Linked DNA regions of Coturnix japonica. The protein of the gene in region 1 purifies or fractionates together with the protein of each later gene. This does not show direct contact. Links are inferred from orthologs where the notes say so. Each region holds a gene or a part of one and is shown in the gene's direction. Other genes may lie near its edges.

The links. Proteins that work in one complex are often made in the same cells at the same time.
Region 2: the proteins of STX18 (region 1) and USE1 purify together in Homo sapiens (co-immunoprecipitation; 4 studies listed by BioGRID and IntAct, counting the BioPlex papers as one, with this or other methods). This does not show direct contact. The link is inferred for Coturnix japonica from reciprocal best matches to the Homo sapiens genes STX18 and USE1.

What each region holds. Positions count from the first base shown.
Region 1 is NC_029519.1:71,389,441-71,395,114, reverse strand, and holds the start of STX18 (syntaxin-18), read left to right. Parts: upstream 1-1,971; 5' UTR 1,972-2,033; coding exon 2,034-2,195; intron 2,196-5,674. UniProt on the Homo sapiens protein: Syntaxin that may be involved in targeting and fusion of Golgi-derived retrograde transport vesicles with the ER.
Region 2 is NC_029543.1:3,206,892-3,212,201, reverse strand, and holds the start of USE1 (vesicle transport protein USE1), read left to right. Parts: upstream 1-1,818; 5' UTR 1,819-1,872; coding exon 1,873-1,974; intron 1,975-2,192; coding exon 2,193-2,242; intron 2,243-3,045; coding exon 3,046-3,124; intron 3,125-3,479; coding exon 3,480-3,632; intron 3,633-3,900; coding exon 3,901-3,919; intron 3,920-4,592; coding exon 4,593-4,623; intron 4,624-4,812; coding exon 4,813-4,975; intron 4,976-5,310. Other genes in the region: MYO9B (unconventional myosin-IXb), read left to right, coding at 275-414, 680-807, 948-1,393.

The sequences.
Region 1 (5,674 bases):
TTAGCCCTGAAGCAGTCAGGCTGTCTGACCTGATGATCTTTCAAAAGGTCCTTTTCAAATAACTACTCTATTCTATTCTATCCTATCCTAGTTTGTTCTGTTCTGTTGTAACACAGCATTAGTAAACATGCAGAAATTCACAAGTGAATTACAGACTGTGGGTATCAATGCAATCCATGACATATTCCTGGAATTTTCTCTTGTGTGCTTAATTTGTTTTGTGTAATACAAAGGGAAAGAGAAAACCAATTTCTGGAAATATACCTGAATATCTGATTTATTTTGTCTAAATCTTATCTTTATAAAATATGTCTTTAGTTAAAAGTTAATCTTGAAAGAGCAGAGACATCTGGCTGGATGTCCAATCCTCCTGGCTTTCCTGGAATGGAAATCTTAACCTCTTTGGCTGTACACTTGCTAATACTTAAATATATTTCATGGTAAATCCAGCACCGAGGATAATGTCTTAACAACTGTATGTTTAATTAGAAATGCATATCCATAGAGCAATAAAACATGATTTAGAATAGAACAACAAGAACGGAGTGTGAATGAATACTAATCACAATGCAGCTATGAAGGAACTCACAATCTATTGCTGAGACTGAAGTGAACTGAAAGCAATGTAGTAATTATCAGCAGAAGTCTTGATATTCTGGAGCAGGAGCTGGTTAAATTCCAGACTGATGGGGAAAGGCAGGATTTTTATTCTTTTTTCTTTGGAGACTCTCTCAGGGAGGTTACTTTCAATCAGTGAGAGCAGTTAAAATCATGCAAAGTCTGTGGGATCCTAAAGTATAATATAGCATACACTCACTACCACCACTAGTTATTTGGTCAGAAGTTTTCACTGCTGTGCCACACAGTTTCCTTTCCAGTCACTTATCTTCTGCACAGCACATGGTAATGAAATTGCCACAACTAAAATAATAGCAAAGGGTATTTCAGAAAGCTTTCCTCTGATTCAGTCAAATTAATAATAGCTGTGCATTGTAGCTCCCTGCAGGGTTTGTCCTTGGAGTACCAGTGATACTGACCAAATGTGGAATGGCAGTAGATCTCAAGGGCCTTAACAGGCACAGAAATCACTACACACATTACAGGTGTATTGAAGTTGTTCTATCTATTGTGTTCAAGAAGAAACATAGCACTCCAGAGAGACCCAGAAAGACTCAAGCTGTGGGCCTACATGAACACATGAGGACAGGCTGAGAGAGCTGGGGCTGTTCAGCCTATAGAAGAGAAGGCCCTGGGGGAGACCTGAGGGTGGCCTGTCAGTATCTAAATGGGAGCTGTAAGAAAGGAGACAGACTCTTTAGCAGTATCTGTTGTGAAAGAACAAGGGGAAATGATTTCAAACTAAAATAAGGGAGATTTAGATTGGATATAGGGAAAAAATCTTTTACAGTGAGGGTGGTCAGGCACTGGTAGAGGTTGCCCAGAAATGTGGTGGCTGTCCCATCCCTGGGGACACTTAAGCTCAGGCTGGAACAGGCTCTGAGCAACTTGATGGAGCTGTAGGTGTCTCTGTTCATTGCAGGGGAGCTGGACTAGATGGCCTTTAAGGGTCCTTTCCAACCTCAATGATTCTATGAAATAACCAATAATCAATATATTAATACACGTACGGCCATCTCCAATGGAAATTTCACAGCAGCACAAAACCCATCCCCTGGTGCAAACCTGCTGAAGCCCATTAATCAACTCCAATTAACCCTTCTTTCCTAGACTGAATTCCAAGGCCGACGGCTTGGATGACTCTGTCTAACAGCACCACCTGGTGACACCTGCCGCGACACCACAGCTCGGCGATCCACACGTCAGAATTTGGCTGGAATATAGATTTTATTCCTCAATCTTTCGCTCCGCGATGGGAGGCAGCAGAGCAGGATCCCCGCACAGCAACACCGCGATGCTCCCTTCCCACCGCACCCATCCCTGGAGCCGACCGAGCGGAACGCGCTGCGCGGGGCCGCGTTGCTCGGGGAAGGCAAAACGCGGAGGCACCGGTGGACGGGGCCGGGCTGGCCGCCATGGCGGTGGACATCACCCTGCTCTTCAAAGCCAGCGTGAAGACGGTGAAGACCCGCAATAAGGCGCTGGGGGTGGCGGCTGGCGACAGCGCTCGGGATGAGCTGCTCAAGCGCAGCGCTGCCCGCTCTAGGAGCGACTTCACCGGGCGGGCACGGGAGGTGGTGAGTGCGGGCAGCGGGCGGCCGGGGCAGGGGGAAGGCGGCGGGCAGCCCTCCCCGGGGAGCCGGGGCGAGAGAGTGGCTCCTGAAGGGCCGCAGAGAGAGTCGGGGCAGCGCTGGCCCCAGGCGGATGTGGGCCGGGAGCCGGAGCTGATGTGGCGGCCGGAGGGATCCCAGCCCCACCCCCCGCACCCGGCTCCCGTAACTCCAGGCTGGGGATCCGGGCTTCCATGGCCGCGTCCCCTCGGTGCCCACGAGCCCTGGGCTGCCATGTAGGTCGGCTCCGGAACGAGTGGGCGAGTCTTTGTAGTGCCGAGTTGTGCCTTATTGCACATCTGTTTCTTGTGTCACACGGTATGGCGGGTCCGTATATGCCGGGTCCGTATGAACTGGGGTGTCATACAGCTTGGAGAGACAAGCACTGAGAGGCGAAGGAATTGCTGAATTGGAGGCTGATCAGCGTTAATAATATTACTAAGTATGATTGTAAACTTGTTGCAGGTTCTTTACCCCCGTACTGAGCAAAGGGTGCGGAGGGGGGATAGTGGTGTCAGAGCACGGTTTGAGTAAGGCCCTTAATCAGGCACTGGAATGCACATTGGAGGGGTTCAAGGCCAGGTTGGCTGGGCTGCCTGCTCAAGTGGGTGTCAGCCCTGCCCATGGATGGGGAGGGGATTGGAGCTGGGTGATCTTTAAGGTCTCTTCCAACCTAAGGCATTCTGTGATTTGGAAAAGCTGGGAGGAACAGCCTGCTCAGTGTGCTCTGTGATTCTCTATGAGGAGACAGACTTCCAGAACACACGTGCTAGTGTAGGGCTGAGCAAGGGATGGCAAGGAACCTTTGGCCCTTAAGAAACCAATGATACAGTGATGGACGTTCCATTGCTTCACATTTATGAAATGCTGTTAGAATTTACTGTTTGGGTATTAGTGCATTTTGGTCAACAAAAACAATTTTGGTTATTGTCCTTGGACTAATAGTTTGACAGAACAATTTTGCATTCAGTGAATGTGGGTATTAAAGATTGTTTCAATCACACTTCTATAGACTTGCATAATAACTTGGTTTTGGTATCTGATTTGATACCAATATATAACCAGTACAGATATCACATAGGACCAGCTTATGTGACACTTGTTCTCAGCTTTACCGTAGTCTTATACCAACAGGTTGGCACTTGCACTGTCTTAGACAATCTTATTTAAGCCATCTGCTTTACTTTTTATGGCAAGTACAAGCTATTAGGAAGATCATCTGTCAAATATATACTTATTTGAGAATATTGAAGGGATGAGATTTAATCACTGCTGACTGTTCAGTATGTGTTACAGAAATGAAATTAAGGTTGATACTGCTTATTAAGAGAAATGCAATGAGTGGCAAAGCTGAATCTCACAACGGGCTTGATTCCAACCAAAAGTTATTACTTTTTTTTTTTTCTGTTTTGTTAGGGAGATTATCTGGTTTTTAATGTTCTTGCAAACAGCTAGAAAATTTAAGTGCTACAAGTTAAATTCTTCAAAAGCAGTATCTGAAAGCATGTCCTTGAGAAGGGAAAATTTGAAAGGTTAATAGTTTCTGAGCCTTTAAATGCAGGATTTCAGAATGATAGAATGTCTGTGATTGAAGCTGTTGAACGCGTAAGAATGCCAGATTCGTGGGGCTACAACATCTGTTCTTCATATAACTTCTTTCTCTGTATTCTGTAGAATGATCAATTCTTTTATATTTTATTTCATTTTTTAGTCCATATAATAGGCCCATATTCACATCAAGAATATGTTTGGTTGTGCTGTTTCGTCCTCTATAATGAGCAGGAAAAATCCCCATGTTCAAGTTAGTGGCTTCAGAACACAGTGAATTACATCTGAGTTTTTAGAAGACCAAGAAATATTCAAAATGCTAAAAACAGTGGAGAAAAATGTGGTGCCTACTAGCCTGGTCCCTACTAGCAACTAACACACAGCCCCAGTTATAGCACTGTTTAATTTGCCTTTACATGTGAAAAGGAGACAGTCAAGTGAAAGCTGGGTCTGCTTTGTTCTCTTGCCAGAGAAACCAGAATGTCAGTATTAGCACTCAGACTTTTTTCAGTTATACAAACATCTTTAATAATCCAACAATATTGTATTTTTCAAGACCACCTGCCAATTTCCAGTTAATTACTGGATCAAGTATTCCTTCTTTTCTTGTTGAAAATGTCAGTTAAAAAAATAAAATAACCCGAATCAAAGAATCACCAAGATTGGAAAAGACCTGCTTACTGTATTAACCTTTTTAATAGGATAGGACATGCAGTTGCCAGGTCTAGAATAGCCCTGAATAAAACCTCAATAAAACCTGAATATGGCCTCAAGTTGCACCAGGGCAAGTTTAGGTTGGATATTAGGAAGCACTTCTTTACAGAGAGGGTATTTAAGTACTGGAATAGGCTCCCCAGGGAGGAGGTTGAATTGCCATCCTTGGATGTGTTTAAGAGCCGTTTGGATATGGTGCTCAGGGATATGATTTAGCAAAGGGTTGTTAGAGTTAGGGTACTATGGTTAGGCTGCTGTTGGACTTGATCTTCAAGGTCTTTTCCAACCTGGGTAATTCTATGATTCTATGAAAACAATCTCCAGAACATCCATATCTGAGAACTAACATTAAAGTGTGTGGCAGAACACAGCTGGTAAGTCAGTCTGCATGGCCATCATTGAGTTGCTCCATGTGTAGCTGAGTGGCTGACTCTAATAGCACTGCAAGCCAAAACTGGTTAACACTGAACACTTTAATTTCTTCTGTTTTATACTGGAGCAGACTGAAAAACTCCAAACCTGCTTTACTCAGGTTAGTTTATACGATCATTCTGGCTCTAACTACTACATAAGAATAACTCCCACGAGAGAATATTTGGATGCCAGGGAAATATATATTGCTTACGGTACAGCCAATTACAGTCCTTATTAGAAATTAATGACTGTGCCAAATTTTGAACAGCAAGTGATATTTCAGCTCACTTTTTAGCTCTTAATGAGAGGCAAATTCTAATAAATTGGTCCCATAGCTGAGGTCATGGAACTCATGCTGACGTCTCCCTTGTATCATGCTGAACACTCAGTTCTGCCCTGTGTTCACTGGGGGCTGCATGCTGTAGTCATTTGCATGCACCTGGGATTCCCTTTCCTATTTCCTAGGCAGAAAACAGTATTCTAAGTTATACTTTTTCAAATGGGAAGGTACAGCATAGTGCACTATATTATTTCAGATTTATCTCTTCCTCTCTGCAAATTGCTTTTTTGCCTCTCATTTCCTCCATCCTTGTTAGAAAGCAACTCAGGCTAAAAGAGTTGATAAGTTAAATTAGGAGGGTAGAAACTAAAAAAGTAGGTTAAAGGAACAGCAGGGGAAAGGACCTTTAAAAGGTTTTTGGAGAGGAATGAAATGCTGGTTTTTGAAAATGCAATGGGATTAAAAGCCAAATCACTAATGTGCCCCATGT
Region 2 (5,310 bases), on another chromosome or scaffold:
TCTGAGTGGAACTTGTATGCATTAACGTACCTTATAAGTAAAACTAAGGTGAGGCTGCTGGTAAATCAAACAACCACTTCACAAAAGGTAACAATACCACAAATCAGATTAGTAGGAAAAATATATCTATTACCCTTTGAAACATTTGTATGACTAACAGCTCTCCATCCACAAGCCCTTCAACTGTCCTGCTCATTTGTCTTCCACCTTGCAGCTAGTAGCTAGTCAGGACATGGGTAGGTGTTTAGGACTGAGTCATAAATCTGTCTTACAGAGCAAAAGCCCACAGGTCAAAGGAAATGACAGTGGCAATTCAGAGCTGGGCTCTCTGCATGAAGAAGAGGAAGTTTCTGAAGCTGATAACCGAGAAAAGGAGATTCTCATTGATCGGATACAGTCAATAAAAGAAGAAAAGTAAGTCATAGCCTTAAAAACCCTGTTGTGCCCTTTGTGGTTGGTATAATACAGACAGCAAAGCACTATGCTTTTTGTCCAAAACTATCTACAGTTAGTTCATTATGTTCTACAGGCCTTTATGAAGGTGAAAATGTAAAAGCCAGGATGAGAGAAAATACTTTGAGAATTATTATTTAATGACTATATGCAGGAAGGTTTACCTCTGATAGGAGCAACCTTAAGCAGCGTTTATTTCAGAAGTGCTCTTTCTGTCCTGATGTAGGGAAGACATAACATATCGGTTACCTGAGCTTGATCAGCGAGGCTCTGATGAGGAAAATGTAGACTCTGAGACCTCAGCAAGCACAGAGAGCCTGCTAGAAGAGAGAACGGGGCGGATGGATACCGAAGGTCAGTATTAAGGTAGTGTGTGCTTTTTTTATTCTACATATTTCACTGCATCGAGCCAGGTGACCAGATGCTACCTGGTCACACCTGCTTGTATCACGTTACATTCTTATGCATGCTTTCAGTGTATTGTTTCTTTAAAGGAATTACGATTTCTGGAGTCCAGTGCTGCGCTCAGAGCTCTGACGTGCCTGCCAAAGACATTTGCACAGTGCCTTCTCTTTTGCAAACCTCTTCAAGTTCTTTGTCTGCATCCCTGGCTTCAAGACGCAGATTGTCTTTTACACTGTCCAAGATTAAGGTGCCCCGTCGAACTCCAGTGATGCCAACAGCAAACATCAAACTTCCTCCTGGGATTTTCAAATGTACCGAATCTCAGGGCAAGGCTTCAGCTGATGAAGAGTCTCCAATAGTGGTGAGACGAAGGGAGCAGCCAGCAATACGAACTGATAAAGTCCACTCTATCTACATTGCACAAGGGTCTGCAATGACCCACCCTCAGGAACTTTTAGATGAATATGAACCAACAGCAAAAGTAAAACGGAGGTTTTCAGACCCTTATTCCCACCTTGTGTGTACGGAGAAGTGAAATACTGAAGCTGTCTGGATCTTTCTGAAGTTGACTTTAGATTTTTAAGGCTTTGAAGGCTGTGAACTTATTCATGAATGTACAGGTAAAGAAAAAATAGCGTCCCGTTTCTGCTGCCGTGCCTTCTTCCATTTGCCTTACAGTGGACTTTAATGGGACCAACAGTGAGTGTGGGTCAGTGTACGTTGCCTTAATTTTGTATGTTTTTATGACGACTTTGTGCGGTTTACAGAACTGTTCGTGTTGTAATAGCCTTAACTGAGACCAAATGTACAAAAATGTTCATTAATACATTGCACTTTTTAAAAAAATACACCAAAGTTTGTGTCTATTTATCGACGTTTATTATCTGCCTGTATCTGTGCTGTGTGGGGAGCCCCGCCTACAACGGCCGAGCGTCTCCATCACCTCCCGCCCCGCCCTAAGATGGCGCCGCCCGGAAGCGGTGCTGAGGTGGCTTCCGGTGCCGGCTGTTCGCAATGGCGGCGACGCGGCTGGAGCTGAATCTGATCCGGCTGCTGAGCCGGTGCGAGGCGCTGGCGGCGGAGCGGCGGGATCCCGAGGAGTGGCGGCTGGAGAAGGTGAGGGGCGGCCCGGCCTTGTGTTGGGGAGGGACTGGCCGGGAACAGCCCTCGGCCTTCAGCAGCATCATTCTGCTCCTCGGAATAAACAGAGGTAGCCCGGTGTCAGGGCGTTAAACCCCATTGCGCTGTCAGCCGTGCTGCGGCTTCTGCCGGGATTAATATTAATATCTATCCGCAATGCTGACTCCTTTCTCTCTCTCTCCTTTCTCTCTCAGTACGTGGCCGCCCTGGAGGACATGCTGCGGGAGCTGAAGAAGCAGTGCAGGTGAGGGCTGCCAGGATCACATCGTGGCGTTGGGGCCTCACTGCCCTATTAGTATAAAAACCTCCCTGTGTGATATCTTGGAGTTCTGATGGTTTTAAAACCATTCCCCCTTGTCCTGACACTGTCTGCAGCCTCACTTTAAGTACTGGGAGGCCACAGTGAGGTTTCCTCAGAGCCTTACTTCCTTCACCATACTTTGTGCTCTCTGGTGTCACCGTGGCCCTCCTGTGGATGTATTCCAGAAGTTACATGTCTTTCCTGTGCTGGAGGATACAGTCCTCCAAATGGGGCCTCACAGGAGCAGAGCAGTGGGAGACAATTCCCTCCATGCCCTGAGCCACCCCTCCCATCCCCCATTGATGCAGCCCAAGATGCCGTTGGCCCTTCAGGCTGTAAGCACACACTGCTGGTCTGCATTCAGTTTGTCATCTACCAGCACCCACAGCTCCTCGGTAGGGCCGCTGTTAGAGCGTTCTTCACCCAGTCTGTTCACGTATCTGGGGTTGCACTGACCCGAGTGCATCAGGCAGTTGCACAGCTGTGCCATGTTCACATACACGCTTCATTCTCCTTGTCAGCCTCGGCTCTGCACAGTGTTCCTCTGCTTGGCTGTGTCCTGAGCTGCTGCAGTCACAGTGCCTCGGCAAGGTGGTTTGAGGGGGTGCAGGTATGCTCCCAACTTGAGTCTATTTCTTTCTTGAAAAAGCCCACGTTGATTAATTTGATTTGAAGACTTTTCTAAACAATGGAAATTGGTAATGCTTTACTGCTTTTCACATGTTTTTTTTTCCCAATTCTAATAGCAAGCCTGCCCCAGAACTGCTCAATGAATACACACGTAAAGTAGACTTTCTAAAGGGACTTCTGGAAGCTGAAAAACTGGTAAGATATGTTAGTTTACCTTGGAAAAACTTAAGAGATATTCTCCTCTTAAACTCTCCTTGTTGCCTTGTTCCTACGCTTGCTTTTATCTTACATCCCAAGATAACACTTGTTAAAATCTTATCAGGCAATTCTCGACAAGAGTGAATAAATATATTGTATTTTGTTGAAAGAGGGTATTGTGTGAAGTCTGAAACTTCTTCCTTCCTTCTCCAAGCTGTAGTTTGCAAAATTCCACAGCCATTCCAGCAGCTGTGGAAGTGCTCCCTAAATCCTCATTGGCCATACATCCAGGTGGCCTTACGCTACTGAATGATGTTTGTGACTCTTTCTCGTTGGTTCTTCTTACTTACAGTCTTCATCAACTGAAAAGGCACTGGCAAATCAGTTCTTAGCCCCTGGGCGTACTCCTACTACGATCAAGGAGAGAACCCCAGCTTCCAAAACGGTTCATCTGCAGACCAAGGCTCGTTGCACAGGCAAGATGAGGAGTGAGCTGCTTGGTACAGTATGTTCTGGTGCTGCTGCTTCTCTACTATTACTTTATAGATGGTCTCTTATGACATTTGGTTGCCTTTGGTGGCTGTGCCTCAGGTACATCCTAGGCTGGGGGTGGAGTCACCTTTTGTTTTTCCTATGGATAACCTAAATACTGGGCACAGGTGCCATACTGTGCATGGAGGCCCTTGAATCTGTGATTCCATGTGATTGTTCCTCATGAACCTTTTCACTGGCCCTTTGTAATCTTTTCTTTTGTTTCTCTTCCTGCCTCCCAGGATCCCTTGGCTCTCAGTGGTAAGTTCAATCTCCTTTTCTTTAATTGACCTGAATTTTATGAGTAAAGAAAGAGGAAAGTCAGGTGTTAGAGGTGTATTTCTAAATTACTGACTCACTTCTTGTCAAGATATAAGATATAAGATATAAAAGAAACACTGAATAGGTGAGAACATGAGCAGTGTTACCTGTACAGCAGAGGAGACTTGCAGGAATTCATGCTGAAACAGGTGTTTCAATTGTAGCATTAGCAAGGAGGGTTTGTGTTTGTCATTGCCAACGTTCTCTTCTGCTGTGAGCAAACCGTGTGATCTCAGGAGCTAACATACAGCCACGTTATTCACGTAGGGAACTGGTAGGATTTAATTTGTGGTTTCCATAGCTACTGTAACAGTGGCTGGAATGAGGCCAGTCTGAGTGTCCTGGAAGAGAACAGCACAGCCCATGGGCGAAGCCGAGCCCTCAGGGAAGTGATTCATCTCAGGTGTTTTATTCTCCCAACCAAACGTTTGCTGTTATGTACTGTCTTTTCCTGGTGGAAAACAGACGTTTGAAATCCACGTTCCCTGGTGTAGAACCAGGCCAACTGGGATTACATCTCTGGGAAAGAAAATCTTTCAAGGAACTTGTTTTATCAGCCTGTGATTGTGCAGTGTTGAGTAATATGCTAAAACAGCATTTATTTTTGTTCCAGATTCTGAGGAGCTGAATGTAAGGAAGCGGAAGTAAGTCAGAATTCCTTATTTTGATGCTCCGTGCCTTGGGACTGCCTTTCCCAATGACCTTAAATCACAGATACGTTCCCATTTGGGTGAAGTGCGTGTTGTTCTGTCAGAGTTGTACAACCTGAGCTGACCTCCCAGTGGTTCCCCATAAGTACAAATCCCTATTCTTCTTTCCTTGTGCTCTTGCAGAGGCCTTGTGTCTGATGAGAAGCAGTCAGCAGTGGAGCTGGATGCTGTGTTACAGCACCATCAAGACATGCAGGAGAAGTTAGCGGAGGAAATGCTGAGTTTGGCTCGCAGTCTCAAAAACAACACTTTGGCTGCTCAGAACGTGATAAAGCAAGACAACCAGGTAGCGTGTGTGACAATGCTGAACTCTTCAGTTGCAATCTAGGAGGTTAAGTCGCTCATATGTAAGAAACAAAAGCTGAGACTTCCAGATGAGGTTAGAATGAGGGGAAATTTGCAGGCAGTGCCTGTCTGCTTCTGCCATGCAGCTGTGAACCTTTTCTCTGTTGGAAGAACTGGTGATGAGAGCTTTTGAATTCAGAATTGAAGGTGTTCTGTCTGTAAATTATGTGTTTGAGACTGCTGGTGCTTCACTTTGACAACTGGAACTCTTTAAAATGAATTTATTTGTTAGGACCTTGTTTTTTTCACAACTTACCTACAGGTAGTGCAGTCATC